7 linked regions of the Cricetulus griseus genome follow. The protein of the gene in region 2 purifies or fractionates together with the protein of the main gene of each other region. This does not show direct contact. Links are inferred from orthologs where the notes say so. Each region holds a gene or a part of one and is shown on either strand. Other genes may lie near its edges.

Region 1 (3,827 bases), on a different chromosome or scaffold from region 2:
TTGTTTTGAGAATAATTATTCCAAGGATCTAAAGAAATCAATGAAATTCATTACATCTTATTTCTTTTATAACCTAAAAAGCACCATTATGACTCCAAGAACATAGTATTTAGCAGAGTTCTGTTGTTAATGAGAAATAATGTTTAACTGTAGGGAGCCGGTTCCTGCATTCTCCATTACAATAATGGTGCCTGAAGACACCAAGATGTAAATTACTTTACAGGCGCTGGGTAATCTCCATTCCTTTGATCTCTGCCTATCCCGTGGCTCATTTGGCCTGAGGAGCTGAAGCCATTCATAGGGTAACACGTCCCAGGCGGCTGCTTGCCAGCCTTTATTAAGGAAATGGGTTTCTTAGTTCAGAGTCTCCGCTCTGGTAAGCTTATGCTCTCTCCCTCTCAAGATGCATTAAAGCTTGTCTGCAGAAGGATCCGAGTGTCCTACGTGTATTTCTTGCCGGCGAGAACATACAGCGTGCGGGACATTTAACAACCAAGTACTACTTTTTCTATCATTTATTTAGGAAAGTTTTACATTATTAAGAAAAAGTAGAAGCCAATTTGGAATCTAGCCCATCATCACATCACAACTAAGGTTTTATCCTGGCCATCTGTTACCTCTAACCACAAAATTCTCCATACACCGGGGCCATAGCTTGCATATATAGTAGGCATGGCAGTCTTAACTTCATCTCCAGTAGTGCAACAACAAAAGCAAAGCCCCCTATTAAAAAACCTTCTCTAAAACTGTGTACAAATAGGTGCTGAAAATTAAGTGGCATATCAAGACAGTAATCTCTACTGTGTATGTTGATGTTAAAATGTGAAAACATACATGTACTAAAATATACAATGAGGGACAGAAAAATGTAGCAGAGCATTGCCTTTCAGACTATTTGCATCAACAACAGCAGCAACTGATGGCTCAGAGCAAGCGTACAGTTTTCCCAGTCACCGTTAAGAAGTCATCATCTGCCAATGCACGCAGGGCTTCTTCAAACATATCTTTGGTAATTGCCTAGAAACAAAACGTCACACATTGAGTCCTTCTTGTTAGACATACATATGTTAAACTACAACTGGGTCTTTTTTTTTTTTTTGGTGGTTGTAGACAATTCATTTTGCTAAATTACATTTCATATACATATTTATTTTGTGTTCCTGTGTGTGTGTGGGTTGGTGTATGAGTGGAGGTCAAAGGACAACTTGCCAAAGTCAGTTCCTTCCTTCTACAACATGGGTCCCAGGACTAGAATTTAGGTCATCAGGCTTAGCGGCAGACACATCCTTTACCCATTGAGCCATCTCACCAACCCCACTTGTACATATTTTGTTTTATGCTGTAAATCAGGGATAGCAAATATTTCTTCAAAGGACCAGGTAACCAATGTTTTCTCTAAGCTCTGCCTTCATCATGCAATGCAGACAAGGGCAAGTGAAGAAGTGTTATAAAAACAAAACAAAGCAAAACCAAGCATATTCATCACTTCAATCCACACAGTACTTTTCACTGACAATCCATCTTTAATTAATTGCAAAAGGCCATACAAATATTTCATCTCTGAAACAAATCTAAACCCGAACAAGTATGCTACAGTTTTAGTTGTGTATTTCTTGATGATGTGTTTATAGAAGAGGAAATCTTATTCTGACTTACATTACTTACACATATATAAACACTTACTGTGTCAGACTGTCCCCGAATATCCTCAAATAGTTGTTGGTACTTTAAAGCTGGTGTTTTACCCTTAGATAAAATAAGTTTCCTCAATGCTTCTGCTAATTCTTCTTTTCTTTTACGAGAAGTGGCACTCATCCCTATGTCAAAAAGAAATCAAATGAAATATTTCTGCCATATGGAAGTGAAATGTTACAGAATTCCCACAAACATTCCTTCAGAGGTATTGCCAAGAAAGGTAGGAGAACAGCTAAATGCCAGAGCACATTCAAGAATATTAGTTTTTGTTATTTCAATTATTTTACACATCAATAGTTGTCATTGAAAGCTGACATAAGCTGTGCAGCAAGGATACTCATACTTAGGAGATCAAATTCTTTTTATTTTGAGACAGGGCCTTACTATGTGCTGCCTCAGTTTGCCTAGTATTTCTGACCCCAAGTGAGCCTTCTGCATAACTGGGACTAAAAAGGGCAAATGTACATGCCTCACTCTCCCTTGAAATGGATTTTAATAGGTTACAGACAGAATACCTTTCGATTTTATGTCATTTTGTTCAAAGCGAGTAACAAACCTGTAGTAAGAATAGATATATCCACAATGCCAGTGCGAGGGTCAGTAGCAGACTGCTTTAGAGCCTCCCGGTGAAGGCGTTTTGCCTCTTCCACATCAATTGCTTCAACTTTGTCTGAAAATCTTACTTTAGCATGGGCTTCTGCTAATCGAATTAATGACTCTAACTGTCGGGGGTAAGCAGAAACCATTCCCCGGCTACTACCAATCTTCCTCATGTTCACATAGGCCTAGAGAAGATAGAAACAACAAAATTAAGCCATTGCTGACAAGAACCTCATGTTTCATGGATGACCTTGCATACTTAGGGTTCTGTTAAATAACTGATGGCCTGTCTGCCTGCAGTGTTACTCTAGGGAATTACAAATTGGAGCTAGACTGTGGGAAGTTGGTTGGAGCCTTACACACACAAACAGAAACCCAGAAACCAAGAGGATGGTTAGTTACATCCATGTATGGTGATGTCAGAAATATTTGAGAGGAAGACTTTTGGAAACATCTGTACAGGTAGACATGAAGAAGAGACATTAAAAGGTTGGTAGTATAATTTAGAAGAATGCATGCCTAGATGTTCATGGGTATAATCCCTAGTACCAAACACAGACTCACAGATTACCCCCCCCCCCAAAGGAAACAGTGCCATAGGAAAGGAATCAGAGAGTCTGTAAGGAAAGGCTTGGCAGCTGGGCGGTGGTGGTGCACGCCTTTAATCCCAGCACTTGGGAGGCAGAGGCAAGTGGATTTCTGTAAGTTCCAGGCCAGTCAGATCTGTTTCACAGAGAAACCCTGTCTCAAAAAACACCAAGGAAAAAAAAGGAAAGGACAGGACAGAACAGAAAAGGCCTGGCAAACTGCCCATGAGACCCATTTTACAAGGTTTGTAAAAGATGACTTAGGATATTATGCTCCAAAGAGGATTAATTCATTTTGCATGTAGTTTCATTTATTTCATGATACAAATGGAAAAATCATATATTATCTGTAACCTTAATTGAGCCTTTTTGAACCCAGCTAGGATATAAACTCACCAAAGTACCTACCGTATCACAATACTAAGCCCAAACAAGCCCTAGCATATCCCTGTGCATCTTGTAAAAGTTTGTGTGAATCTAAATTACCTTTGTCTTTACTTTTTTTAAAAAAACAAACAAATAAGTTAAGAGAAACAGCTAACTCATCCAGAGTTGTAAACTGTTTCTTAAGCCCGGTTACCTCAATGAGAGCCTGGCTGGCCTCCTCACTCAGTCGGGGCGTGATGGTACTATGTGCATATGCTATGTAGTCCTTCAGCACTGCCATGTCCAGGAACTCCTCCTCTACTTGCTCCTCACTTTGGTAGTACAGTGAAACCAGGTGATGAGCCAGACGCCGGTCATATGCCTCATCCTGAGGGTCCAGCATGAGGAAAATAAGATCAAACCTGACAAGACAGAGAAAAATACTGTCTTTCTAGTTGAGACACCAACATACCTATATATAGGATTTAAATGTGTTTAAACCACTAATCAACTATACTGTATACATGCCCACAGAGGGCTGCCTCGTCACCAACTGACCAATCCTCAGTCCTGCCTGGT
Region 2 (3,500 bases):
AAAGGTACCCTCCTTTTTTCTTTGAAAACTATGATTGTGTCCAGGGCTGCACACTTAATTTTGTTCCTGGAGACAGAGACAGGTGGATGGATATCTGTTAGATCAAGGCTAGCCAGGTCTATGTAGTGAGACCCTCATCTCAGAAATAAAGAAGTTTGCTACTGTTATTTATTAATAACTACTGTGTGCTCTAAATACTACATGACCTGCTTTTGTTAATACTGTATGTTTTTTCATTTTACCAGGCACAAATGTCCAGTTCTTCCTGTCCAGTGAACTCTCCTATAATGCCTCCAGGGTCTCAAGGGAGCCATATTCACTGTTCCACTCTGCCTCAACAAGCTCATCAGAATTCGCCTTCTCCTGTTCCTAGTCGTACCCCTACTCCTCATCATACTCCCCCAAGCATAGGGACTCAGCAACCACCAGCAACAGCAATTCCAGCTCCTGTTCCTACACCTCCTGCCATACCACCTGGACCACAGCCCCAAGCTCTACACCCCCCATCTAGACAGACACCAACACCACCAACACATCTTCCTTCCCAAGTACAACCTTCAATTCCTGCTGCTCCTGCTGACCAGTCCCAGCAACAGCCTCGATCACAGCAGAGCACTGCAGCTCCTGTTCCTACCCCAACAGCACCACTGTTGCCACCTCAGCCTTCAACTCCAGTACGTAAGCAGATGTGTCTTGGAGTGTCCATAGGACCAGTTAAGCTCCAGTGATGTTTCTATACCATTTTTTCTTTCACTTTTGTTTCATCTTTGCTTGTTTTATTCATAGACTTGGGTGTTTGTTGCCTGTTTTTGCTTCCTTTGGTAGAGAAAGCTAGAAGATTTTGGTTAATTTTCACTGACCATTCTGTTTCAAATGATTATCTGAGGCCTGAAAGCTATAAGAGTTTTATCAATGCTTAGTGTAACACATACACATGTACTTGTTTAAAGATATTTTGAGGCAGAGGCAGTGAGATCTCTGAGTTTGGGGCCAGCATGGTCTAGAAAGCAAGTTCCATGGCAGCCAGAGTTATTACACAAAGAAACCCTGTCTCAAAAAACAAAGCAAGGAAAGAAGGGGGGCAGGGGTGAAACAGCTTAAGTTGCAGTGCTGAAAAATGAAAGTAAAGACCTATGTGGGGTACATCGATTTTACACACACACACACACACACACACACACACACACACACACACACGAGAGAGAGAGAGAGAGAGAGAGAGAGAGAGAGAGAGAGAGAGAGAGAGAGAACAAACTATAGGAGTTAGTTCTCTTCTGCCATTTAAATACCAGGGATCAAACTCGGTTGTCAGACTTGATAGCAGGTGCCTTTATGAATGAGCTATTACATAGTCCCTGATGTCATTTTTTTAATATTCTGAGCCTCTCTGATATAGTCAACTTTAGAACATCCACCCCTAAACACATAACAAAAAAGCTGGTAACTGTTTCAAGTAAAGCTAGCCAGCTAGCATTGGGAAGTCCCATATCATCCATTCTTAAAATGATCTTTGTGAGAGAAAACATAATAATAAAATGGGTTCAGTGAGAGTGCCCCAAATATAAATAGCCTTGTGTAATTTAAATTTAAATTCTGATTCCATGATTGGCAAGCTTTTGTGTATGTGTATGCTTTACCTTTTTCTCTCCAGCTTTCTCAGCCAACTGTAAGCATTGAAGGCCAGGTATCAAACCCTCCATCTACTAGTAGCACAGAAGTGAATTCTCAGACCATTCCCGAGAAGCAACCTTCACAGGAAGTAAAAATGGAGGTTAAAATGGAGGTGGATCAACCTGAACTAGCAGATGCTCAACCTGAAGATACTCAGGAGGTGAGACTAGAGCAATTAGGTTCTGCTATAAAAGGAAATTCATGTATGTCCATAATGGAGCGTAAATAAGGTGATAATGGTCTTGTTCCCAGGTGTAAGTCTTTGAATTTTTTAAAATTCCTGTCTTATATTTTAGGCTAAAGCTGAAGATGTTAAAGTGGAACCTACAGAAACAGAGGACAGAGGCACTGAGTTAAAACCTGAAACAAAAGAGGAGGAAGACCAGCCAAGTACCTCTGCTACGCAGTCCTCCCCAGCTCCTGGACAGTCAAAGAAGAAGAGTAAGTGAAGGCTGGGAAGATCATTCATTTGGTAAAATGCTTGCCCCATAAACAATAAACATCTGGATTTGTTTCCTAGCACTTGTATATATATCCCAATGCTTAGAAGGCAGAGGGAAATGAATCTCTGAATTCAAGGACAGCCTTGTGTACTACATAGCAAATTCCAGACAAGGCTGAGGTAGACAGTGAGACCTTGGGCATTTTGGCACACCTATAATCCAACCACTGGAAAAGTTAGAGGCAGGGGGATCACTGGAGCTTGCTGCCTAGTAAGTTGAGATCTTGGAAGGACATAGGGTTCTAGCAGAGGATAACAGAGAGTGGAGAGGGTCAAGAGTGCTGAACCGAGACTGAAGAGATGACTCAGGTTTAATTTCACGCACCCACATGGCAGCTGACAGCTGCCATAGTATACGACACCATCACACAGACATACATGGAGACCAAACACCAATGCACAAGAAATAAAAAAAATTATAAACAAAACAGTATTTAAAACTGTTCTTATAGAGGATCCAAATTCACTGACCAGCAGCCATATGGCAGCTTATAACCACCTGTAACTCTAGTTCCAGGGACCAAACACACTCTTCAATCTTCCTCAGGCTCCAGCACACACACACATTTTACATAATTTTAGGTAATAATACTAACACATCATACTAACACATAAGATGAAGTATCAAAAAATGTTTTGTTTTGGTTTTTTTGGGTTTTTTTTGTTTTTTTTTTTAAAAAAAGGTCATTGACCTCTGAACAAAAATACCCACCCAAGGTTGATCCTTGGTTTACAAACACAGGCTCATGCATGTATGTGCACACACATACACGTATACACATACACCAGCCGTGCTGGAAAGATAAGTGATAAGTCCTATAAATTGTCCTTTGTCCTCCATAAAATGCCTTGGCATATGGGCATTTGTACACAAATGCACAAAAGATAAATAAAAATGTAACTTAAAAATTTTGGTTAGGGGCTGGAGAGATGGCTCAAAGGTTAAGAGCACCGACTGCTTTTCCAAAGGTCCTGAGTTCAATTCCCAGCAACCACATGGTGCCATCCTCTATGAGATCTGGTGCCCTCTTCTGGTGTGCAGATATACATGGAAGCATAATGTTGTTAAATAAAATCTTTTAAAAAAATAAAAATAAAAATTATGGTCAGGTGGTGGTGGCTAGAACCTTTAGTCCCAGCACTCCCGGAGGCACATGTGGATCTCTGTGAGTTCGAGCCTGGTCTACAGAGCGAGTGCTAGGCTCCAAAGCTCTACAGAGAAACCCTGTCTTGAAAAACCCAAGGAGAGAGGGGTGGGGTAGATCAGGTCTCAATTCTAAATTGTTAAATATTGGTGTCATTAATAGAGCCCTGCCTTTGGTGATTG
Region 3 (4,056 bases), on a different chromosome or scaffold from region 2:
AATAATCTTTTTTCTTGTCTCCAGTTTAAGGACTTAATACTTTATGTGTATGAGTGTTTGGTAGCTTGAACACATGTGCATCACATGTTCACCTAGGTCAGAAGAGGTTGCTGGATCCCCGTGTTTTTGAGCAGCCATGTGGATGAGGGGCATCCGAGCCTGAGTTCTTGCTGCAAGAGCTCCTAACCACTGCACCATCTCTGGAGGTTCTTACCCTCAGTTCTTTAAAAGCTATTTCCAAACATTAACTGGCATTTCTTTGGCACTTCAATTTACAAATCTAAAGAAAAATATTGTGGGAAAAGTGCCACTTCTATGCTGTGTTCTCATTGGTATCTTTTAGTCCTCTTTAAAACGTTAATAACGATTTCTTAAGCTTCAAAATACTGAAGCCATCCTGCTGAAATTAGTATTTTTACCTGTAACGAAGTAAAGGAAATGTAATGAAAGAGAACACACCATAATTTCTAAAAATATTTCTCCATTGTCTTAAAATATGGTGACATGGTGGAAGACGTATTTCCTTTCAACATACTCATAATGTACAATGGGCTTGATGCGGGGTGGGGGCGAAGAATCAGCTCCATTTCGAGCTTAGTAAATTCTGAACAAAGACCTCTCTGAGAAAATGCCTCTCCTAGACAGGGCTGACATAGTTTGCTTCTGACCACACACTGGGGCGGGGGTGATGACTAGCAAACCCCCGAGTCTCCCAAACCAAGCGCAGTTCCCCAGCTCCAGCTTCCGGGTAGCCGGAGGGTGGTCCAGGAGCTCGTCTCTCTTCGCGTTCCCACATCCCTAGTGAGGCCGGAAACCGACACATCGGAGTCGTCGGAGCTCCGGGCTGAGTTCCTTTAGCCTCTCCAGACCTCACCTTCCTTCTCTGATACCGCCCACGCCCTAGCCTCTCCCTCCACCATCACCTGCGCGCGCGCCCGAGATCCCGCGCCCACCTCCCTCTGGTTGCCAATCACAGCTTTCCGCAGTTCCCTGGTTACCGAAACAACGGTCCTTGGCTTTTGGTCACGCCCCTTGGAACTGCTTCCCGCCTTTCGTGCTCTTCGTCCAATCACTAGCGTCCGAGTGCTCTTTGGTTCCCGCCTCCCCGTCCCCGCCCTCCCGAAGGCCCGCCCTCTTCCTTAAGCACGACTGCGTCACCTGACCCGTAGGCGCTCCCTTGGTAGAAAGCAGGAAGGAGCGTGTGCGTGAAGGGGAGGGGCGCGAGAAGAAAGCGGCGGGGATGCCGGGAGTGGGGCGGGGAGAAGGCTTGTCAGTCGGATCTCGCGAGAGAGGACGGAAGCCTGTGGGAGCCCGTGGCCTTTAAAGTCGATTCAGCCCTTTCCTCCGGGGCTAGTTTGTAAACACGGCTGGGCTCCGGGCTCCCGGGTGGATGAAAGGACCATGAATTAGTGACCTGGAAAGGTGAGTAGTGGTGAAAGGGCCGCAGTCTCGGAGGCTGTAGGGGTTCAGAGGAAGAAGGCGCTAACATGGCGACGTCTCAGCCTGTAGTCCCCACCCCCCGCCTCCCACCCCTTTGGCGCCCCTGCCGCGGACCCCAACCCTCCGGACGGCTGTGGCCGTCCGCGCCAACGCCTCTGGCCTGGCGGACCCACCGGACCGTTAGGTAACGCGGCTGCAGCGTCGGCCCCTCCCTCGCGCGCTTTCCCAAGCCCCAGCGAAAAGGAATAACGGCTCCTCTCAGACCCCTCCCTCCGATTTACCATCCCCTTGTGTGGTCACTTGAGAGGTCCCCGGGCGCTCTTCGGATCCGCCCAGCTGACGGGGAGACCCCCGCCTCAAGTCCTTGATCGCGCCGCAAGAGGGTCCACGCTGGGCTCTCCATCCAGGACTCTAACGGTTGAGGACCACGGACGGGGTTTGGGATGGATGGTGCGGTGGAGGAGGATTGGAAAGCGTGGCTAAAAATCTAGCCGGGGTCCCTGGCTCCCGTGGAACGTGATGGAGCCAATGGTATGGAGAGCCTGGGAGCTGGAGTTCTCGGCCTTTTCTGTCCATTCTGCCACCCGCACTCCCGCCACCCCCCACTTTTCCCAGGTGGGGCGGGGCTGAGGTGTGGATGCAGGTTGATTCTGCTATTTCCCCCCATTTTTTTTTTTTTTTAACCTCGACGGGTACAGGTGTTTTACAGAGCTTCTGTAGGGAAATATCTGTTCCTTTTATCAATCAATATACTAGGGACAAGGGAGAAAGAATTGTGTTTTTTTGGTGTGTGTGTGTGTGTGTGTCTCTGCCTGCCTGTGCCTGTGCCTATGCCTGTCTCTGTGTCTCCGTAGTGCTTGTTCATTGAACCAGATCTCGGAGGACTGGGACTATTTTTATGCATCTAGGTAATATAAAATTGTCTCCTCTTAATGGGGAGTCTTAAAACTGAGGAGGCCGAGTAAAACTACCGTCAATATAATGGAGTAAAAGAGATTGCTTATGATAAACCCTTAGGCCTGTTCCCTAATGCCTATATTACCTTGTGGAAGTCCCAGTTTCTTAGGGATTACAAATTATAGATACATTCACACCACATGCATGTAATGGTATATTAGAAATCAGACCAAACGGTGACTGTTCTCTGAGTTCACTTTTTCCTGTTGGAAGAAATTCTTAACCACTGGAATTGCCATTGTCAGTAATAACCGTCTCAGGGATACTCCTTCAGAGCCAAATGGCCTTGGTCTATTGCACCAAAATTGGAAGGTAAGACTATAAAAGACTATTTTAAAACAAATTTAGGTAATTTCCTGAAATAGAGACACAGTAGGAATCTTATATTTAGATTTGCTAAACCTACTTGAAGAATCCCCTGCAATGAACTTTTTCCAAATGTATAGGAATATTTTGTAGAGTATGGGAGTATGCTAAAAATGTATCCTGTAAAAGCAAACTAAGTTCATGGACTTTTTCTTTTCTTTTCTTTCTTTCTTTCTTTCTTTCTTTCTTTCTTTTTTTTTTTTTTTTTTTTTTTGGGCCTTTCAAGCCAGAGTTTCTCTGTGTAGTAGCCCTGGCTGGCTGTCCTGGAACTTACTGTGCCTCACTGGCCTCAAATTCACAGAGATCCACCTACCTCTGCCTCCAGAGTGCTGGGATTCAAGGTGTGAACCACCATAGCCTGCAAAGATTCGTGGATGTTGAAGGCCATCAATAGTCAAGTTATAATTAAGCTTCTAGGTCATAAAGATAATTTTTCAAAAAAATCTTTCAAATTCAGTGTGTATGCTGTCCTCCTAAGCTGTCTTTCAGTGCTCATTTAGAACTTGATTCTTTGTATCTTTGGGGGGTGGGGGTCAGAGGCGTTTAACCCTAACTGCCCCAGAACTCACTTTGTAAACCAGAATTTAGAAATCCTCCTGCCTCTGCCTCCTAAATGCTGGGATTAGAGGTGTGAGAATCCACACCAGGCAGTTCTTTTCAGGGGCATTTTAGTTTTGATATAAGGTACTAAAAACTTCCTGTAGATTACCTGGAAATCCCTTTAACATTACTAAGTTCTTTATTTTGTATTTGGAGCATTATATTATCAAATGTGTTACCTAGAAATTCTTACATTGGTTATTTATTTGGAGGAGTGCTGTTAGAGTAAGATAGTGGTAGAACTGGTTATTCTTTAACAAATTATTGGAGGGTGCTTTGGGGTTTTAAAATTTTAAAGCTGTATTGTTTTGAAATTACATCATCCATTAAATATCTCCTGAGTAACATTAAATCAAGAAATCTAGTTTTATCTCTACTTTTAAAAAATCTTGAAAACTTGAGTTCTAATTATTTATCTGTACTCCCCTAATCAATTATGTTACTCAGTCTGGTAAGCAGCTCTACCATACATGCTGTTTCCATTCATTTTTGCCTTTGGTGTCTTTCTTCCTATATGATACGTGTCTGAACTGGTATTACTTTCTTTTGTTACTCTTATTGAAATGCCCTTAGAAAGGTAATTAACTCTTTTGTATTCAAACCAAAAATTTTTACTGCAACCTTCCTTGATTAGAAATCAATGTAATTGGATAATTCAGCTGACCCCTCTGAAAACTAATACAGATAGTTCTT
Region 4 (3,500 bases), on a different chromosome or scaffold from region 2:
CTGCCAGACGCTCAACCCATGTTCTTAGACTCTGGCCGTTTTGCACGCTCCCTTAGTAAAAAGAAGGCAGGGTGGCATCAGAACCTCACATACCTCAGCTGCTCATCTGGTTAGCAAGCAGTGCTCTGTAGCTGATTGACAGGATGAATACATCAACAACTGTGTGATGTCACTGTCACCTCACCTTCTGTGACAGCAGCCACCTCCAGGGACCTCACCTGGACCTACTGGGGATAGTGAGGCTTTCTTTTCTTTTCTTTTTTTCCGAGATAGGGTTTCTCTGTGGCTTTGGAGGCTGTCCTGGAACAACTAGCTCTTGTAGACCAGGCTGGTCTCAAACTCACAGAGATCCACCTGCCTCTGCCTCCCTAGTGCTGGGATTAAAGGTGTGCGCTACCAACACCCGGCTGAGGCTTTGTTTTCTTATAGGACCAACCTGTCAGTTACCTGAGCCATGGGCCAGTGAGGACTTGGGGTGTACCCTGCTGCTCACTACCTTGCCATTGCCAGTATGAAAGGATTTTAGAACTTGGGGCACGACCACTCAGGCAGGTGGCAGGTGAATGCTGGGAATGCTATAATATCAGGGTCTGGCTGCCATTCAGTCAGATTCCCTTTCAACACAGCTTGTTCCCGTAAGACCAGGACAAAGACATTCTCTCTACTCTGGGCTCACTGTCTGCCCTGACTGCCAGTATGGTGTGAGGATGTCTCTGCATGCAGTGAGAGGGTGCCAGAGGGAGATGGACACAGCTCTCGGGTCTGTGTATGTTCACATGTGAAATCATAGGACAACTTGCAGGGGTCAGTTCTCTCCTGCACTGTGGGAGTCAGTTACCCTGAAGCCATGCGGCTTGGTGGCAAGTGCCTTTACCCATTGAGCCATCTCACTGGACCAGAGTTTTACTTTATGGGGCAATTCAAGTGAGCTATACAATTGCCCCTCTGGGTCTTAGAGCGAAGTGAGTTCATACCAGAACTCTGCACTTACCCTCCAGTGATCTAGGAACATCACTACCCCTCACTCCCTGCTGCCGCCCCCCCCCCCCCCGTTAGCTGGTAAAGCTGTGTCATGTCCTTGGCTCCACCAGACTTGTGTGCTCTCTGCTTGCCTTGGCATCAGCCACTGAGGACACCCTCCCTACAGTGTACTTACCACACATTTCTTCTCCTTATAGGTATCCGCCCTCAGATCATGAACGGCCCCCTGCATCCCCGCCCCCTAGTGGCACTGCTCGACGGCAGAGACTGTACCGTGGAAATGCCCATCCTGAAGGATCTGGCCACTGTGGCCTTCTGTGATGCACAGTCTACTCAGGAAATCCATGAAAAGGTGGGTTGCACCCCACCTTACCTGGGCCCCTCCAGGCCAGCTGATGTCAGTAAGCACAGTAGTCACACACAGGAATGCCTAAAGTGTATGGAATTCCCGATGTCCTTAGCCTACTCTGCCACCCTCAGGCACTTACTCCATGTCTCCATCCTATAATTTCTGCTAACAAAGTCTCAGAGCCTTGTGTTCCCAGGGGTTCTGACCTGTGACTCATGTCCCTGCCCACAGGTGTTGAATGAGGCTGTGGGTGCCATGATGTACCACACTATCACCCTCACCAGGGAAGACCTGGAGAAGTTCAAGGCTCTTCGTGTGATCGTGAGAATTGGCAGTGGCTATGACAACGTGGACATCAAGGCTGCTGGTGAGCTCGGTGAGTCGAAAGGCCATGCTGGCTGCCTGGAGGCCACACTCAGTAATGGGCAGAACGCAGAAGGCAGGGCAGTTGTCCTAGGGAGTCTTGTTTCCATTTTCCCATGCACCTTTGCCCAGCCTCAGCTCGAAGCAGGTTCAGGGGCTGGAAGATCTTGAGATAAGCAGTAGATTAGTGAGTTCTTCATTGAGCACACCAAAAGAAGCTGGCCACCACCTGCTGTCCATTCCCAGGGTGCTTCTCAGAGAAAACCACAGGCGGGTAGAAAGCTAAGCAGGAAGGTAGAGTACCTGAGTGGCACAGGGGACTCCTGCCCACACCCCCATGAGAATTGGTGTACACTGGCAGCAGAGCCTGGGGGGGTCAGTGGGGAGTGCCTCAGAGCCACGTATTTTGTCTGAATAAAGTGTGCCGCCTCTTTATTCATGAGCCTCATGCATTTGAAATACCTCAGAATAACTAGAAACCCATGTACCGATGGTGCCACAGCAGCCTGAGCATAGTAATGCTCGTACCATCAGCCTGGGCCTACCACCTGCTGCTGCCTCACCCCAAGGGCTCCTGGAACTAACTCCTAGGACAGCAAAGCCAGGTGTGCGCAGTGCCTCACAGTCATCTCTGCACCGGGCCTAACGCTAGACTCGACAGCTCTGTCTATAACCCAGACACACCCGCCATGCTGGCCACTGAAGCAGCACTGGATCCAACTTCCCTTCACAGTCTGAGCCTGCAGCTTTGAGAGGGGTGGGTGCCTGTTTTTAGTTTTCTGTTTCTTTGCATTTAGAGCAGCAGTTACTATGAGCCTGAACCCCAGGATAAGAAAAGGACAAAGGAAGCTGTGCCGGGTGGCACCAGCCAATGCCCACAGTATGTCTGTGGGGCAACCTCACAGGGGAAGGTAGACATCTCATGTAAAGCAGAATCAGTCCTATTCAGCCCGGGCTTTTGAGAGTCCTGGGTAATCATGGCTTCCTATGTCCCTACCCTAAGCAGCCTTGTTCTTTTCCAGTTACAGCCCCTCTGAGCCCCTCTTTGGCAACAGAAGAAACTTGTTGTGATTGATGTGAGGCCACGTACCTGAGTTTAATTGAGAAAACTACCTGGTGCGGTGTTATACACCTGTTATCCAGGGAGGTCTCTTGAGTTTGAGGCCACCCTGGTCTGCATAGCAAGTTTGAGCCTAGCCTTAGCTACTTAGACCCTGTCTCAGAAAAAGAAAGAAAAGAAAAAAGATGTTTCCCAGACACGAGCAAGTATGCTTGTGTTTAAAAATATGTATCTGAGCCTGAAGGAAGTGGCCACACACCTTTAATCTCAGTACTCTGGGAGGCAGAGGCAGGTAGATCTCTGAGTTCAAGGCCAGCTTGGCCAATGGAGTTAATTCCAGGCCAGGGCTGTTACATAGAGAAACCCTGTCTAGAAAAAAAGCAAACAAAAGACGTGTGTCTGTCAGGAATAGAGATAAATTCCCTGAGTTGGGACTATGCAGGAAGACATTCAGCTTTCTAGCCCATTGTCTCTCACACATAGTTCCTGTTGGTAGTCAGCCCCTCTTCTCCAGTCAGAGTCCAAGAAACAGACTGCCTAGGGCCAGAGCGTTGAAAAGTGTAAAGGGGACACGAAGTGTCACTATTGTGGCCCATTGTGATTGGAGTGGCTATTCAGAAGACTTCTGCTAATGAAATAGATGGTCCTCCAGCAGTGTCTGTCATTTAGCTCTAAGTACATATGGTGCCTATCAAGTCAGCCAGCAGACCCTTTGGAGAGTAGTAAGACGAGTGGCAGGTGTGCCCT
Region 5 (3,500 bases), on a different chromosome or scaffold from region 2:
AGAGATGACTAACTCATCTAGGGTAAAAGTGAAAAGGAGCAGAAGGGAAGGTTAGAGGTGAGCAGCTTCCTCTCCAAGAGCCGCCCTCACCTTGGCTTTGACTGCAGCGGCGGCCAGGGCAGCCGCAGCAGCTGTGGAGAGGTTGCCCTCACCAATGTCTCGCTCCACCTTCGTTTTCCTTTCGCCTTCTGACTCCACCACTTCCTTCACGACTTCCTCCTGGCCTTCTTTTGGCTCCTTGTCTTTCTCAGGATCAACTGTGCCAGGACAGAGGTAGAATTAGCCTTATTTTAACGGCAGGCACACCCCCTTGTCATGTGTGCACGCGCCATGCTGAGCAGCTACCTATTGGGTCCGCATCGCTCTTCTCGGACTCCTTCTCGCTGTCCCCTTCTTTCCCTTTCTCCTCATCCTTCTTGGGAGCCTCACTGGCTTCCTCCTTTGCTTCTTCCTCTGCAGCCCCCGCTCCTTCCCGTGGTTCCTGCAGCTCCAGAAGAAAGGAAGACATCAGAGGATGCTGTTCTCACAGGGGCCCAGGCTAGTGACTGACTCAACCTCTTTATCTCTGTGCGTGCATGCACAGTATGTGCTGCACACACATGTATGGGTGTGTACATGCCAAGGCCAGAGCAGGACACTGAGTATCTTACTGCCTTAAGCCAGGTCCACCCTCCATTGGGGTCCTACAACGGGGTTACAGGCGTGTAAAACAATGCCAAACTTTTTACATAGGTGTTAGGGACTCTAATTCACATTTGTAGAACAAGCACTCTCACCCACTGAACGATCTGCTCAGCCCCACCGTGACCCCTGACTTCAAGAGACTACCCTTCCCCTGGATCCCTGATCACCACGGACAGCTTCTTCCAGACCCAGGCCACTCACTCCGTACCTTAGGCTCCTTCTTCTCATCTGATGTCTGGCCCTCTGCCCGTGCCTCATCAGTACTGCTTTCCTCTGGACCCATGGAGAAAGGAAAGAAAAGAAAAAAAAGTCTGAGAAGTCCCATCTATGTGACAATTTTCCAGTAGCTGAAACCTCAGGGACAAGACCAGTAGAAGGAAGCCCGATTCCCTATGGTGACATCATGAAGGAAAACATAACTCCATGGATTTTCTCTCCCACTTGTGCTGTGGTGGAGCCAGGCCAGGATGGGCATGGCACAGAGAGGCCAGCTGGCTCTAGATCTGGCTCTTGGTGAATGGGAAGAAATCTAAAGCTCCTGCTCACCAATGCGCTCAGGCTCATCAGCAGTGGTTCCCGCAATGCCGCTGCTTTCCAGACCAAAGGCAGGGTCTGCTTTGCCTGTGACCTTGGCTGCTTCTTCCACTTTCCGCACATGGGCTTCCACCAGGGCTGTGGGCACCTCTTCCTTCATTCTGGAGAACTCTTCTGTAAGACCCAGAGGGGGAGAGGCTGGGACAGTTCTGGTCACCCCTGTGCAAGCTTTCTCATGAGCCCGGCTTCCTCTAAGAGCAACACGGAGTTAGACAGGTGCCTGACCTAAGGCAGCAACAGACAAGGCCAGCAGGGCAGCCAGACTTGAGGTTTCACTGTGAGCATCTAACCTTGTAAAAGTAAACTAAGAAGGCCAGCCCCCCTCCCCCAGATTACCTAGGGCTGACTTGGCAGCAGCAGAGGCAACTCGGGGATCGACGACAGAGGCCAGGAAGGCAACAGTGCTCATAACAGGGTTTCCCGACTGACTGAAGGGGATGGGCTGGTAGGCCAGAGGGCCTAGGGAGGCCTCTGAGTCCTCCAGGTATGGGTCTTCAATGGGAAGGCGAAGAAAATGCAAGATGCACTCATCCTGCGTGCGGCTTCCCACATGTTCAGACACTTTGTTCCAGTCATCCTTGTACATTTCCAGAGCCTGGTGGGAGTGGTGGAGACACAACTCCGCTTACTTCGCCACTTCCTTGAAGGTCAGCTCCCCCCATCCCACTAAAGGCATCTGGCTTCAAAGTCCTTGGTGTTCTGGGATTTCTGCATTCTGCTGGACCCAAGGGGGATCTCCAAGTAGCACACGAAGAAAGGATTTGGTATGACAGGAATGACAGACACCAGGCTGCATGAGCACTCCCCACGCACAGGCTGGCATCCCAGCCGCTTCTGTCCTCAGCAGAGACAGCACTCCGTGCTTTACCCAGTTACCTCTAGGAGCAGCAGCGTCTCCTGCTCTGTCCACTCCCGAGTGGCGCTGGCTGCAGCTTTGCTCTGCAGGGAAACAGAGGCGCCTCAGGATAGAGGAACCAAGCTATGTAGGGTGAAGGCTGTCAGGCCCAGGCTGGCTGCACCTCATACCTTGGAGGGGACACTCTTCTTTGTGTACATGTCTGTGCGCAGTCCAAAGTTTTGCATGTCTGTTGGTTTCTCTTTGCCTTTGTCAGGAAAGTTGAGCATTTGTTGGGAAGCAGAGCTCTGCTATTTGTGGAAGGAGGAAAAAAAAGAAGTAAATATAAGTGGCCACAGGGGCCAGAAGCAGAGAGAGAGAGAGAGAGAGAGAGAGAGAGAGAGAGAGAGAGAGAGAGAGAGAGAGAGAGAAAGGGATGCCTGGCTGGGCGGGACTTCCTCCCTTACTGCTGCAGCTCCTCTGCTCTCTTCTTTCCAGGCAGGGGTCCCCCAGTGAAGGGGCAAATAAACAGCCCAGGGGGGTCTGCACCCCACCTACCAGCTCTGGCTTGCCCTTAGCCGTCTCTGGCGCCAGGTCATCCAGCTCTTTGCCCTTCCGCCCAGCCTTGGTATCAGCATCAACCTGGCGGCCCTGGGGGACAGAGCTTGGCGTCATGGAAGCTGGGCAGGAAATGGCCAGGCCAAGGCCTTGGAGGCCTAAAGATCAAATGCTGGGCGGCCCAAAAGCTCTGGGGACACTCATGCCACTGTCCCATGCTGCCTCCATGATTAATTAGACATGTAGCTGGCATGACAGACATTTGTAGTCACATGCATCGTCACAGACTCTAAGGAGCTGGACAGTAGATCCTAATCCTAGATTCAGTTGGTATCTTTGTGTTATCCACACAATGTTTTCTTCTCTTTTTAAATAATGTATGAAATGGAAATGGGAAAAAATGAAGGTGATAATACTTATGAGGCAAAAAAATATGGGAAACATGGCAAAGCATAAAAACTTCATCTGAGTTATCACAAGTGACTTCTCTATCTGCTCTGTCTCCTACATTAGCCTGTCTGTTCCCTGGGATGAGGGGCAACTTCTCTCACTCACTCAACAAGTGCTTACAGCTTAGGTATTGGGACTAAAAGAAGGTGCTAAACACATGTGCTGATTCCTGTGGCCCCCTTCCAAGTCATGCTCAAAGAAGAAACCCTACCACACTCCTCAATCGTTACTCTAAAAAATATAAAAATAAAAAAGTAAACAGAAAAAGAAAAGTCCAAAGAAGCCCTGTCTTATCCACACACCCTTGTCCCCAGCACCCCTCACCCTACCTGTGGGGTCTTGGGCTGAAGAGGCACCAGCCCTGATGGTGTGTCCGCCA
Region 6 (4,258 bases), on a different chromosome or scaffold from region 2:
CGAGTTGAATGTTCATGGGACGGCCTATGGTAAAGAATACAACAAGTCTCACTCCAGAGGCTCTGAAGCTGACCCAGAAGGCACCACACCCTGGTCTCCATGCAAGCTCTAGAAAGGGCCTTTGTGTGTCTCCAATGCCCCCAACAAGGTACAAGGCCTAGAGAGCCTGGTGGGAAAATAAAGTGGCAATAACACCCCACCAACACCTCCTCACTCCTTCTCAGTTCAGGCTAAGAGGGCTGTTTGGTCAGGTGTCCAGGGTGCTCATGGGTGGACAGGTGTGGGTAGCCTGACGGAAGAAGAACAGGTACCTTTGTCTTTACGACTACAGCCCCGCACTCAGGTTGTACTATGGCGGTTCTGAGAAGGCTTCACAGAAGTGAATCTTCCGGAAGGAGCTGAAGGAGGGGAGGGATGTAGCTTGCTGGATGGGGGTTCACAAGAGGTTGGTCCAGATGTGTGGGGCAGCATGAGAGGTGGCAGAATGGAAGAGAGAGACAAAGGGGCAAATGCAAAGTGTCCTCAGCCACAGGGGCAGCCCATATTCCTACAGGGAGAGGTGCCAGCCCCAAACTCCGTAAGCCCCAGGCATCCTGGGCCCAGCCCCATATACTCACCATCTAAAGGGACACCATTGTACTGTTTCATAGCCTTCAGGGCATCTGCCTTCCGTTCAAAGTGCACATCTGCTGTCCCTAAACTTCGGCCAGAGCGATCGTAGTGCACGGCTGCTTTCTTCAACGTTCCAAACTCTGCGAAGAGTTCCTGGAAGTGGACAGGGCAACTGTTAGCCAAGCAGTTAAGCTGTTTTCCCTCTAGAGGCTCAGTTCAGTAGCTGTGAGGGTTCCTGGGTGCTACTTTACTGACCACCACCCAGAAAAGGGGCGGGGCAGAGGCAATCAAGAGGTGAGGGAAGGGTGTCACTTTGAGCACCTGGGTTCCTGTCCACGTTGGGACGTGTGTGACTGTACCATGATGCAGGTGAAGGAAGCACACAGAAACTACCTCTCTCTCAGCAAGGGCACTCACAACCTGACTAATGGCTGTTTCATCAGATAGCAAAGGCCAAGAGAAAAACCAAGGGAAGCTGTTCATAGAGCAGACAGCTCAAAGGGCCCACTGATTTGGGGAGCTGTGACCCAAGCCCCTCCCCCAAAGGCAGATTCTGGCTCACCTTTCCCTCTCCTCCTACTCAAGCCTGCTGCAAAGTCTGAAGTCAAATGCGCCATGGAGACTGCCCTGACCTCAGGCAGGCTGGGAGTTGGAGAGGGAACCCAGAGTGTGGGGCTACTTCGGCCGCAGGCACACAGCGGGAAGTGAAGTTCACCAAAAGCGGTTTCCAGTGGATGCCAGAAACCACCTTAAAAAAAGTGTGGAGACACTGTGAGTGCTCACTGGCCTTGCTCTATGCTCCCTGACAAGGCCAAATGGCGGGGCTCTGAGAAAGGGAACCCAGAAAGGCCCAGCACCCATGACCCAAAACTAACTCCTAAAAACCTGCTCTGTTAACTCTAATTGCATTTGAGGGCCAGAAGAAAGACAGAGAGAGGGAGAGAGGATAGAGATGGGGGGGGGGGGAGAGAGAGACAGACAGACAGACAGACAGACAGACAGAAAAAAAGACTTCAACCAAAGGTATGAGAACAATGCCCCTGGTAAGACCCAGGAAAGGTCAGTCTGGAAGACACACAGCCACCATTCACCCCTGTGCCTTCAGACATGTGGGGGTGGGGAGAGTTTTCCTTCTCATAAGCTTACTACTACAGGCACAAAGCCTGAGAAGCTAGCACCCTCGGTCACACAGGGACCGGACTTGTGGCCAGTCTGTGCCCGTTAGAAACTGTAAGCCTTGCAGACGGCAGGTGCTCGTGACGTTAGCAGACAAGAGCCACTCTGGGGGCACACCAGGCTGCCTTCCAAGCAGCCTGACCTATCAGTCACATTCAAACCCCAGGGGATACTACTTTTTGTGAGGGCAGCGGCTGGCCCTTGGGCAGCCTGGGGGAGCACAGGCTCTGATCAGAAGGGATTCTGTGTGTGGGGATAAGCATGCGGACGGCTCTGGTCTCTTACCTGAATATCTGCGTCTGACACTCCAAAGTCAAGGTTTGACACCAACAGTTTTCCGCCGGTCTCCACGCCGGCTCCACCCCCGAAGCCGCTGTCGAACAGATCGTGCTGCCATTTGTCTGGAAGTTGTTTCGGCTGAAGGGAAAGAGAGGTTCGTGAGCGACCTCGTCTCGGGCGCCCCGATCCCTCCCCGGCACTCACACTCTCTCTCTCACGGCGGCCCGAGAGCCCGGAGGAGACGACCCCCACGCCCGCCGCTCCGCCGCCACGAGGCGGGACCGGACCGGACAAAGCGTCCCGGAAGATCCCGGCCTGTGACCGGGGCCTCGCTCACCGCGCGGCGTCGCCCCCGCCCACCCTCCGTTCCGTTCCGTTCCCGCGGTTCCCGCAGGACGCCCGCCCGCCCGCCTCAGGGCGCCGGGAGCCCGCCCCGCCGGCGCCGCGCCTCCCGTGCTCACCCTGCTGTAAGGAGCCGGCCGGTTCCTGCCGCCGGCGGCGGCGCCGCGAGAGATGGCGGGCCGGTTCCTCAGAGGCCCGCCGCCTCGGTTCACCCGCGCGGCCGCCTGCACCGCCCCGCCGCGGCCGCCCTGGGCGCCGGCCCTGCCACGGCCCCTGCCTCCGCCGCGGCCGCCTCGCTGGCTCCGGTTCAGCTTGATAATATCGTCCAAAGACATGTCCATTTTGTCGGCCATGGCGGGCGCGGAATCGGGCCTCAGATCGAGCCCGCGCGTCAGCACGTCGCTAGGTCACTTCCGGAGCTTCCCCTGGTCTTCCGGCGTCGCGGCCCCCGAAGCTGCCCCTGATTGGCCTCGGCGCGCGCGGAGAGCGGAGGGCGCCTGCGCTGCGCTCAGGAGGACGGCCCGCGCGAGTGTGTGGCGCCCGGCGCGGCGCGGTCGTTTTTATACCTCCCGCGCTCCTGCAACGGAAGGGCGGGGCGCCGCGAGATTAGGTGGAGTGGGCGAGGCGTGGGCGGGGCCTGGCCTGGGATCCGCCCTGCGCAGGCCGGAAGGCGCCGGATCGAGTTCGGTCCGTCCGCCCGCCGAGTCCCTGAGCTGCGAGGCGGGGGGCCGATCTGTGGATCCGATTTGGGGTTTGTGGGCTCGAAGGGATGGTTTTTTAAAATTTAATTTTATTTAAATTTAGCAAGCTGATGGCTTGTCACGCGCGGGTTGTGAGTGAAAACCGAGGTGTTTTTCATGGATGCAGTGGTTTTTGTTTTTGTTTTCCTCCTTTGGTTTTGGGCGGATCTGCCTCCGCGGCGCTGAGGTTAAAGGCGTGAGCCAGCCTGGCCCGCTACCTGGGTGCACAGCTCTAAAAACGACCTTCAACATAGCAAAACAACTTGGGAGCCTGGCTCCCTGGAGGCGCCTAGCACGCAGCTCCCCGCCTTAAATGCTCAAGTGCCGTCTGTGGTAGTAATACAGAGTAACTTTAGCCAGGAAACCCTCTTCCCTCAGGTCGCACGCTCTGCTGCCATGAAGGTGAAGATTAAGTGCTGGAATGGTGTGGCCACGTGGCTCTGGGTAGCCAACGATGAGAACTGTGGCATCTGCAGGATGGCGTTTAATGGCTGCTGTCCAGACTGTAAGTGCCCCCCCTCCCCCGTGCTCTCAGAACTTCGGCCAGCTCCACCAGCCTTGAAAACCTTGGGTTTCCCAGCACTAGGGAGGCAGAGGCAGGAGGATCTCCGAGATTCCAGGACAGCTAGGGCTACGCTGAGAAACCCTGTCTCGAAAAACTAAGAAAACCAGAAAATAAAACCGTGGGTTTTACTTTCCATTTCCTGAAGGAAAGTTGACAGAAAATAAACGAATTCTTCAAACTCACTTTTGTATAAAGACCCTATCCAGCATGGTGGCAAACATCTGTAATACCAGCATTTGGGAGCAGAAACAGGTAGCCTCTGAGTTGGAGGCTACATAATGAGAGTCTGTCTGTAAAAACAAAGAAAAGCAAATAAACAAAAACAACACTTTTGTTTTTGCCAAGGCATGGTGGCACAGACAGAGGCAAGAGGAGGCTTGAGTTTGAAGCTTGCCTGGGATACATTGTGATGATTGGTCATTCTCTTAATTCCTCAAAATGCTACTTCCAGTTTGAATTTTCTCCAAGCAAAGCAGAACAAATGAGGATACCCCTGCCCAGCACACTGAAGTTCAGACAGCAGTTTCCATACTTTAAGTTGATG
Region 7 (4,048 bases), on a different chromosome or scaffold from region 2:
CTTTTAGGTTTTTAACCCTCAACATAAAAACATTTGTTCTAATCCAGTTTGTCATTTGACTCATTTTGACACCTGTTTCTGGTGTTCAATTTTTACCATGAACTCACCTCCGAAAGGTCTGGATTTCCTCAGATTCTTTGTGATCTATGTTGTGAAAATTCCTCCAGTTTTTCATGTTTTTAAATTGTTTTTTAAACCAGAAGCCCAAAGATGTTAATCAGCCCATATTTTTTTATTTTTATGTTAAATCATTTTAAGATTTCCTAAAGGCTAAATGAGTACCTAAAAGGAAGTAAGAGGTTCCAGGTTACAAATTCTAAGATTCTACTGTGTCTGAACTTCCTTGTCGGCTTACAATAGGATTTTTTTCCTCTGTTTATTTCTTCACTGAAGGACACAGTCCTTCAAATTTATAATCTGTAAGCCCAAGATTTATAAGGGTTTCAGTTTCCATTATCTGGCTAACAGTTTAAGGTTTCATCACCCATCCTTAGATAATAAAACCACTCTACACAAGACCTATACTTTCTGCAAGGTAATAGCCAAAAAAGATCTATGCATATCATACTGGCTTCTACTTCATTTTTACCATAAGCTTTCCCAAATGTTTGCCTATTTTTTTTTTGAGGTGAACGCAGAAGATACCTTGATCTGTCCTAAATGAGAAATAGCTTGACTTTATTTTATATGTAACTAATATTTTACTCGTGATTTTAATTCAAAAGCTCTGATAATTCACTTTTGCAAATAATTCTTTAATGTCAGACTGACAATAATTTTGACTTATTGACAAAATCCTATGTATGTATCTCTTTCCTCTGATGCAGGGGATCAAATCCTTAAGTTTTGTGCATGCTAAGCATTAATTCCAGCCCAAATGCTTATATTTTAATATGTCTGTATGTCTGACATGGCAAGTAGATTCAATTAAATTTCTAACTGTTTAAAGAATGTAACTTATTAATGATACTAGTTGCTTGGGAAGGAATTTATTCTGTTAAGTTTATTAATTTAAACATGCATTAAAAAACAAGTCAAAAGCATTACTTTTATACAAAAGTCAACGTAATTTATACACACATCGAAAAACATGTTACACTGTATATAACACTAAAAAGAACTTGAAAGATTTTAACTTATGCCTCTAAATTTAAATTTTCCATTGAAACTACAGTCCTATAAAAATGTCATTGTCTTATAGGAACAACTACATTAAAAAAACGAACAATTTGGGCAAGGTGCAGCAAGCCCGTAATCCCACTCAAGAGGCTACTTAAAGATGATGATTCAAACCCTGTCCAAATAATCCCACGAGTTTTTACTGAGCACAGCTTGCAATATATTTTGGTAATTTCTACATGAGGGTAGAATTTTAATTTTTTAAAGTCATGGTTAACCTACATATACCCTAAGGAAGCATTTGTACATATTCTTCTCACACACACACACACACACACACACACACACACACACACACACACACACACACTCTTGGTGGACTGGGGATACTTTTTTAAAAGGTTTGCCTATTAATAAAGGTGTAAAACTGGCGGGTATAGTAGTTCACACCTTTAATCCCAGCACTTGGGAGGCAGAGGCAGGCGGATCTGTGAGTTCAAAGCCAGCCTGGGTTACACATCGAGCTCCAGTTCAGCCAAGGATACATAATGAGACACTGTAAAACTTTGTACCAAAAGGCGTTTCCCTCGGAAGGAGAGTACAAACTACGCTGGCTTCTAAAATCAAGGGCATATCTGGGTCTGTCTTTGCCACCTGTAAATGTAGTCCAAAAATAAAGGACCTGCGTGATCAACTGGAACTGTTAGAATCAAGAGGACTTTTTCTAGTTTAACAGGCTCCAAACTTGCTGTTGTGGAGAGATAGATAAATGCCTCTATCAATATCACTTTGAGGAAGGCGCTGTCTTTCCTTTGGTCTCTCTGTTTAAGGAAAATGTCACGAAGACCTAAAAGTGCTCATTAGTCACTGTCAAGGCTCACTTTTAAGTTCAGGAGATTAACAAGCACAGGAGGGAGTACAAAGGTGAAGCCGAATACACAAACACCCCCAACCCCAATCAATCCCGGCGGTTTACAGCAGAGAAAATGACCTGTAAGTGCGATTACGCGTAAGGCAACGTGGGGCTCCCAGAGCTCAAGACCCCCACCTGATGAATAGGTAAGTCAGGAAGGCCCAGCTCCACTTCTCGGATGGGGGAACTGAGGAACGAGGCGGCGAGACGACCGGCAAGAGGCCTCGCTGAGAGATCTGAGGCGGAGCGGAGGACCAGAAGCCCCAGTCCTCAGGCTGATGCTCAGATCTCGGCTCCCCCCGCCCCTACGATGGTGTAGACGGGCCTCCGCCCCCCAACTCACACACCCCCTCCCCCGAGAGCTGCACATCTCCTCGGGTTCCAAGGGCAGGGTCAAAAGACAGGGCTCCAGAGCGCTCCCGCCGTGATTTGTAGCCAGAGAGCGTTGGGAGCGTGCGTGCCTCCAGTCCAACATGGCGGCGACGCGGCCGCCCCCCCCCCACCCGAGCCTCCCTCAGGCCGGAGGCTTTCCCTCGCCGCCCTCCGGTGCGCGGGAAGACGGCCCGAACACGCCGGACCCCTTCTCGCCGCTGCCGCTGCTCGCTGGAGGAGTCACCTACCCGACATGACTAACAGCCGCGGCGCGGAGCCCCCACGGCCCGCGGAGAACAAGGAAAACGAAAAGCCAGGCGGCGCGGCTGCCGGAGCAGTTCTGAGGGCGGCGCGGCAGGCTGAGACCGACTGCGGGACCTCGGCAGCCAATCAGCTCACGGCGGACGATACCACCGTGCCAAAGCCGGAGGGGTGGTTCTACTCCTCTCCAGTCCGCCGACTGCGGAGTCCCTCCCCGTTCCCCCCTCCGCGACGGTACCATTATTGAGAGGGAATTGAGAAAGGAAAGTACCAATGCCCTCGAGGGACTAGGGGAGGAAGCCGGGCCGGCTCGCTCCGCCCCATTTACAACCCCAGTTCTAATTTTATTGGGTCAGGTAGAATTTGAAGCTATAAAAGCGAGAGAGGAGGCTCCCCTTTCATAAGTAGGAACCATTGGCCTGGAAAACTAGTTTCTTCCTTTAAAATAGAGAATGGTGTGGCCGGCTTCGCTCCGGCTCTTGCTGCTGAGCTTGAACCACTTGGGGGCGTTCCGAGCCTGAGGAGCGCGCGGGACGAAAGTCGTGACGAGCTCGGTACCCGATCACCTCCAGGCTTGCTAAAACTGCCTTGTCCAGTAAAAATCAAGGTGAGACGAGGACAAAAATGTGAGTTCAGTCTAAATCACGCGCAAACCTGACTCCGGGAATAAGGTTGTGCAGGAGTCGAGCTTTCTCAACCCTAATAATAACCAGCTAATTGTCGGCATCTTACATCATTCCCACTACAGACTGATGAAATATTTCCCCCTGGTTGCGGATAAAGTCGTGTGGCTAATAAAGGGGTAAGGTGGAATTTGGAAGTCTAGTAACCCACCCTCAGTTGAGGGTGGGTTACCGTAAAGCTGTACAGTAAACTCACTTAGAGAAAGGGCTTGGAAAACTTAAAATAGAATCAGCGAGGACATTTTCCCGCAGTGAGTGACACCTGAACCAAAGCCTGCGTGATGAGTTAAGTTGAAGAAGGGGGCAAAAGATCTGTCCAAGCTACTTGTAGAACAAGTAACTTGATACGTTGGGAGCATAGCCTCCGGGGGAGAATACTAGAACATGCCAGAAAGGTAGGAGGCTAAATAGCTGAGGTCTTGTAGTTTGAACTTTATCCTGAAGGCGGTGGATCCACCCACAAAAGAACTTCAGAAGGGTGAGATCAGATAGGTATTTTCCAGCTGCAGAATGAAGAACAGGTTGGAGAGGAGAGATGCCTATTGTTTGTTGGGAGGGGAGAAGGGGGAGCTGAGAATATTGCTCAGTGATTAAATCCTGGCCTAGCATGCTTAAGTTGCTGGGTTCAATTCCTAGCACAGGTAATTTTTTTTTCAGCCAATCAAGCTGGCACACACCTATTAATCCCAGCACTCATGGG

The links.
Region 1: the proteins of Ep300 (region 2) and Mcm4 purify together in Homo sapiens (affinity purification with mass spectrometry; 3 studies listed by BioGRID and IntAct, with this or other methods). This does not show direct contact. The link is inferred for Cricetulus griseus from reciprocal best matches to the Homo sapiens genes EP300 and MCM4.
Region 3: the proteins of Ep300 (region 2) and Atf2 purify together in Homo sapiens (affinity purification with mass spectrometry; 3 studies listed by BioGRID and IntAct, with this or other methods). This does not show direct contact. The link is inferred for Cricetulus griseus from reciprocal best matches to the Homo sapiens genes EP300 and ATF2.
Region 4: the proteins of Ep300 (region 2) and Ctbp2 purify together in Homo sapiens (affinity purification with mass spectrometry; 5 studies listed by BioGRID and IntAct, with this or other methods). This does not show direct contact. The link is inferred for Cricetulus griseus from reciprocal best matches to the Homo sapiens genes EP300 and CTBP2.
Region 5: the proteins of Ep300 (region 2) and Smarcc2 purify together in Homo sapiens (affinity purification with mass spectrometry; 3 studies listed by BioGRID, with this or other methods). This does not show direct contact. The link is inferred for Cricetulus griseus from reciprocal best matches to the Homo sapiens genes EP300 and SMARCC2.
Region 6: the proteins of Ep300 (region 2) and Alyref purify together in Homo sapiens (affinity purification with mass spectrometry, with the first as the bait; 3 studies listed by BioGRID). This does not show direct contact. The link is inferred for Cricetulus griseus from reciprocal best matches to the Homo sapiens genes EP300 and ALYREF.
Region 7: the proteins of Ep300 (region 2) and Taf15 purify together in Homo sapiens (affinity purification with mass spectrometry; 3 studies listed by BioGRID and IntAct, with this or other methods). This does not show direct contact. The link is inferred for Cricetulus griseus from reciprocal best matches to the Homo sapiens genes EP300 and TAF15.

The regions. Positions count from the first base shown.
Region 1 is NC_048597.1:73,869,819-73,873,645, reverse strand, and holds the end of Mcm4 (DNA replication licensing factor MCM4), read right to left. Parts: intron 3,671-3,827; coding exon 3,463-3,670; intron 2,481-3,462; coding exon 2,252-2,480; intron 1,818-2,251; coding exon 1,684-1,817; intron 1,018-1,683; coding exon 925-1,017; 3' UTR 501-924; downstream 1-500. UniProt on the Homo sapiens protein: Acts as a component of the MCM2-7 complex (MCM complex) which is the replicative helicase essential for 'once per cell cycle' DNA replication initiation and elongation in eukaryotic cells.
Region 2 is NC_048595.1:378,772,865-378,776,364, forward strand, and holds part of Ep300 (histone acetyltransferase p300), read left to right. Parts: intron 1-245; coding exon 246-674; intron 675-1,651; coding exon 1,652-1,831; intron 1,832-1,967; coding exon 1,968-2,112; intron 2,113-3,500. UniProt on the Homo sapiens protein: Functions as a histone acetyltransferase and regulates transcription via chromatin remodeling. Acetylates all four core histones in nucleosomes. Histone acetylation gives an epigenetic tag for transcriptional activation.
Region 3 is NC_048599.1:101,241,183-101,245,238, forward strand, and holds the start of Atf2 (cyclic AMP-dependent transcription factor ATF-2), read left to right. Parts: upstream 1-1,256; 5' UTR 1,257-1,422; intron 1,423-4,056. UniProt on the Homo sapiens protein: Transcriptional activator which regulates the transcription of various genes, including those involved in anti-apoptosis, cell growth, and DNA damage response.
Region 4 is NC_048596.1:67,839,129-67,842,628, forward strand, and holds part of Ctbp2 (C-terminal-binding protein 2), read left to right. Parts: intron 1-1,178; coding exon 1,179-1,333; intron 1,334-1,561; coding exon 1,562-1,706; intron 1,707-3,500. UniProt on the Homo sapiens protein: Corepressor targeting diverse transcription regulators. Functions in brown adipose tissue (BAT) differentiation. Isoform 2 probably acts as a scaffold for specialized synapses.
Region 5 is NW_023276806.1:129,411,630-129,415,129, forward strand, and holds part of Smarcc2 (SWI/SNF complex subunit SMARCC2), read right to left. Parts: coding exon 3,451-3,500; intron 2,765-3,450; coding exon 2,672-2,764; intron 2,425-2,671; coding exon 2,305-2,424; intron 2,218-2,304; coding exon 2,155-2,217; intron 1,874-2,154; coding exon 1,615-1,873; intron 1,393-1,614; coding exon 1,231-1,392; intron 958-1,230; coding exon 893-957; intron 488-892; coding exon 346-487; intron 258-345; coding exon 91-257; intron 1-90. UniProt on the Homo sapiens protein: Involved in transcriptional activation and repression of select genes by chromatin remodeling (alteration of DNA-nucleosome topology).
Region 6 is NC_048600.1:133,091,013-133,095,270, forward strand, and holds the start of Alyref (THO complex subunit 4), read right to left. Parts: upstream 2,801-4,258; 5' UTR 2,763-2,800; coding exon 2,529-2,762; intron 2,206-2,528; coding exon 2,074-2,205; intron 766-2,073; coding exon 618-765; intron 25-617; coding exon 1-24. Other genes in the region: Anapc11 (anaphase-promoting complex subunit 11), read left to right, coding at 3,546-3,654. UniProt on the Homo sapiens protein: Functions as an mRNA export adapter; component of the transcription/export (TREX) complex which is thought to couple mRNA transcription, processing and nuclear export, and specifically associates with spliced mRNA and not with unspliced pre-mRNA.
Region 7 is NC_048600.1:96,720,414-96,724,461, reverse strand, and holds the start of Taf15 (TATA-binding protein-associated factor 2N), read right to left. Parts: upstream 2,801-4,048; 5' UTR 2,660-2,800; coding exon 2,653-2,659; intron 1-2,652. UniProt on the Homo sapiens protein: RNA and ssDNA-binding protein that may play specific roles during transcription initiation at distinct promoters. Binds to ssRNA containing the consensus sequence 5'-AGGUAA-3'. Can enter the preinitiation complex together with the RNA polymerase II (Pol II).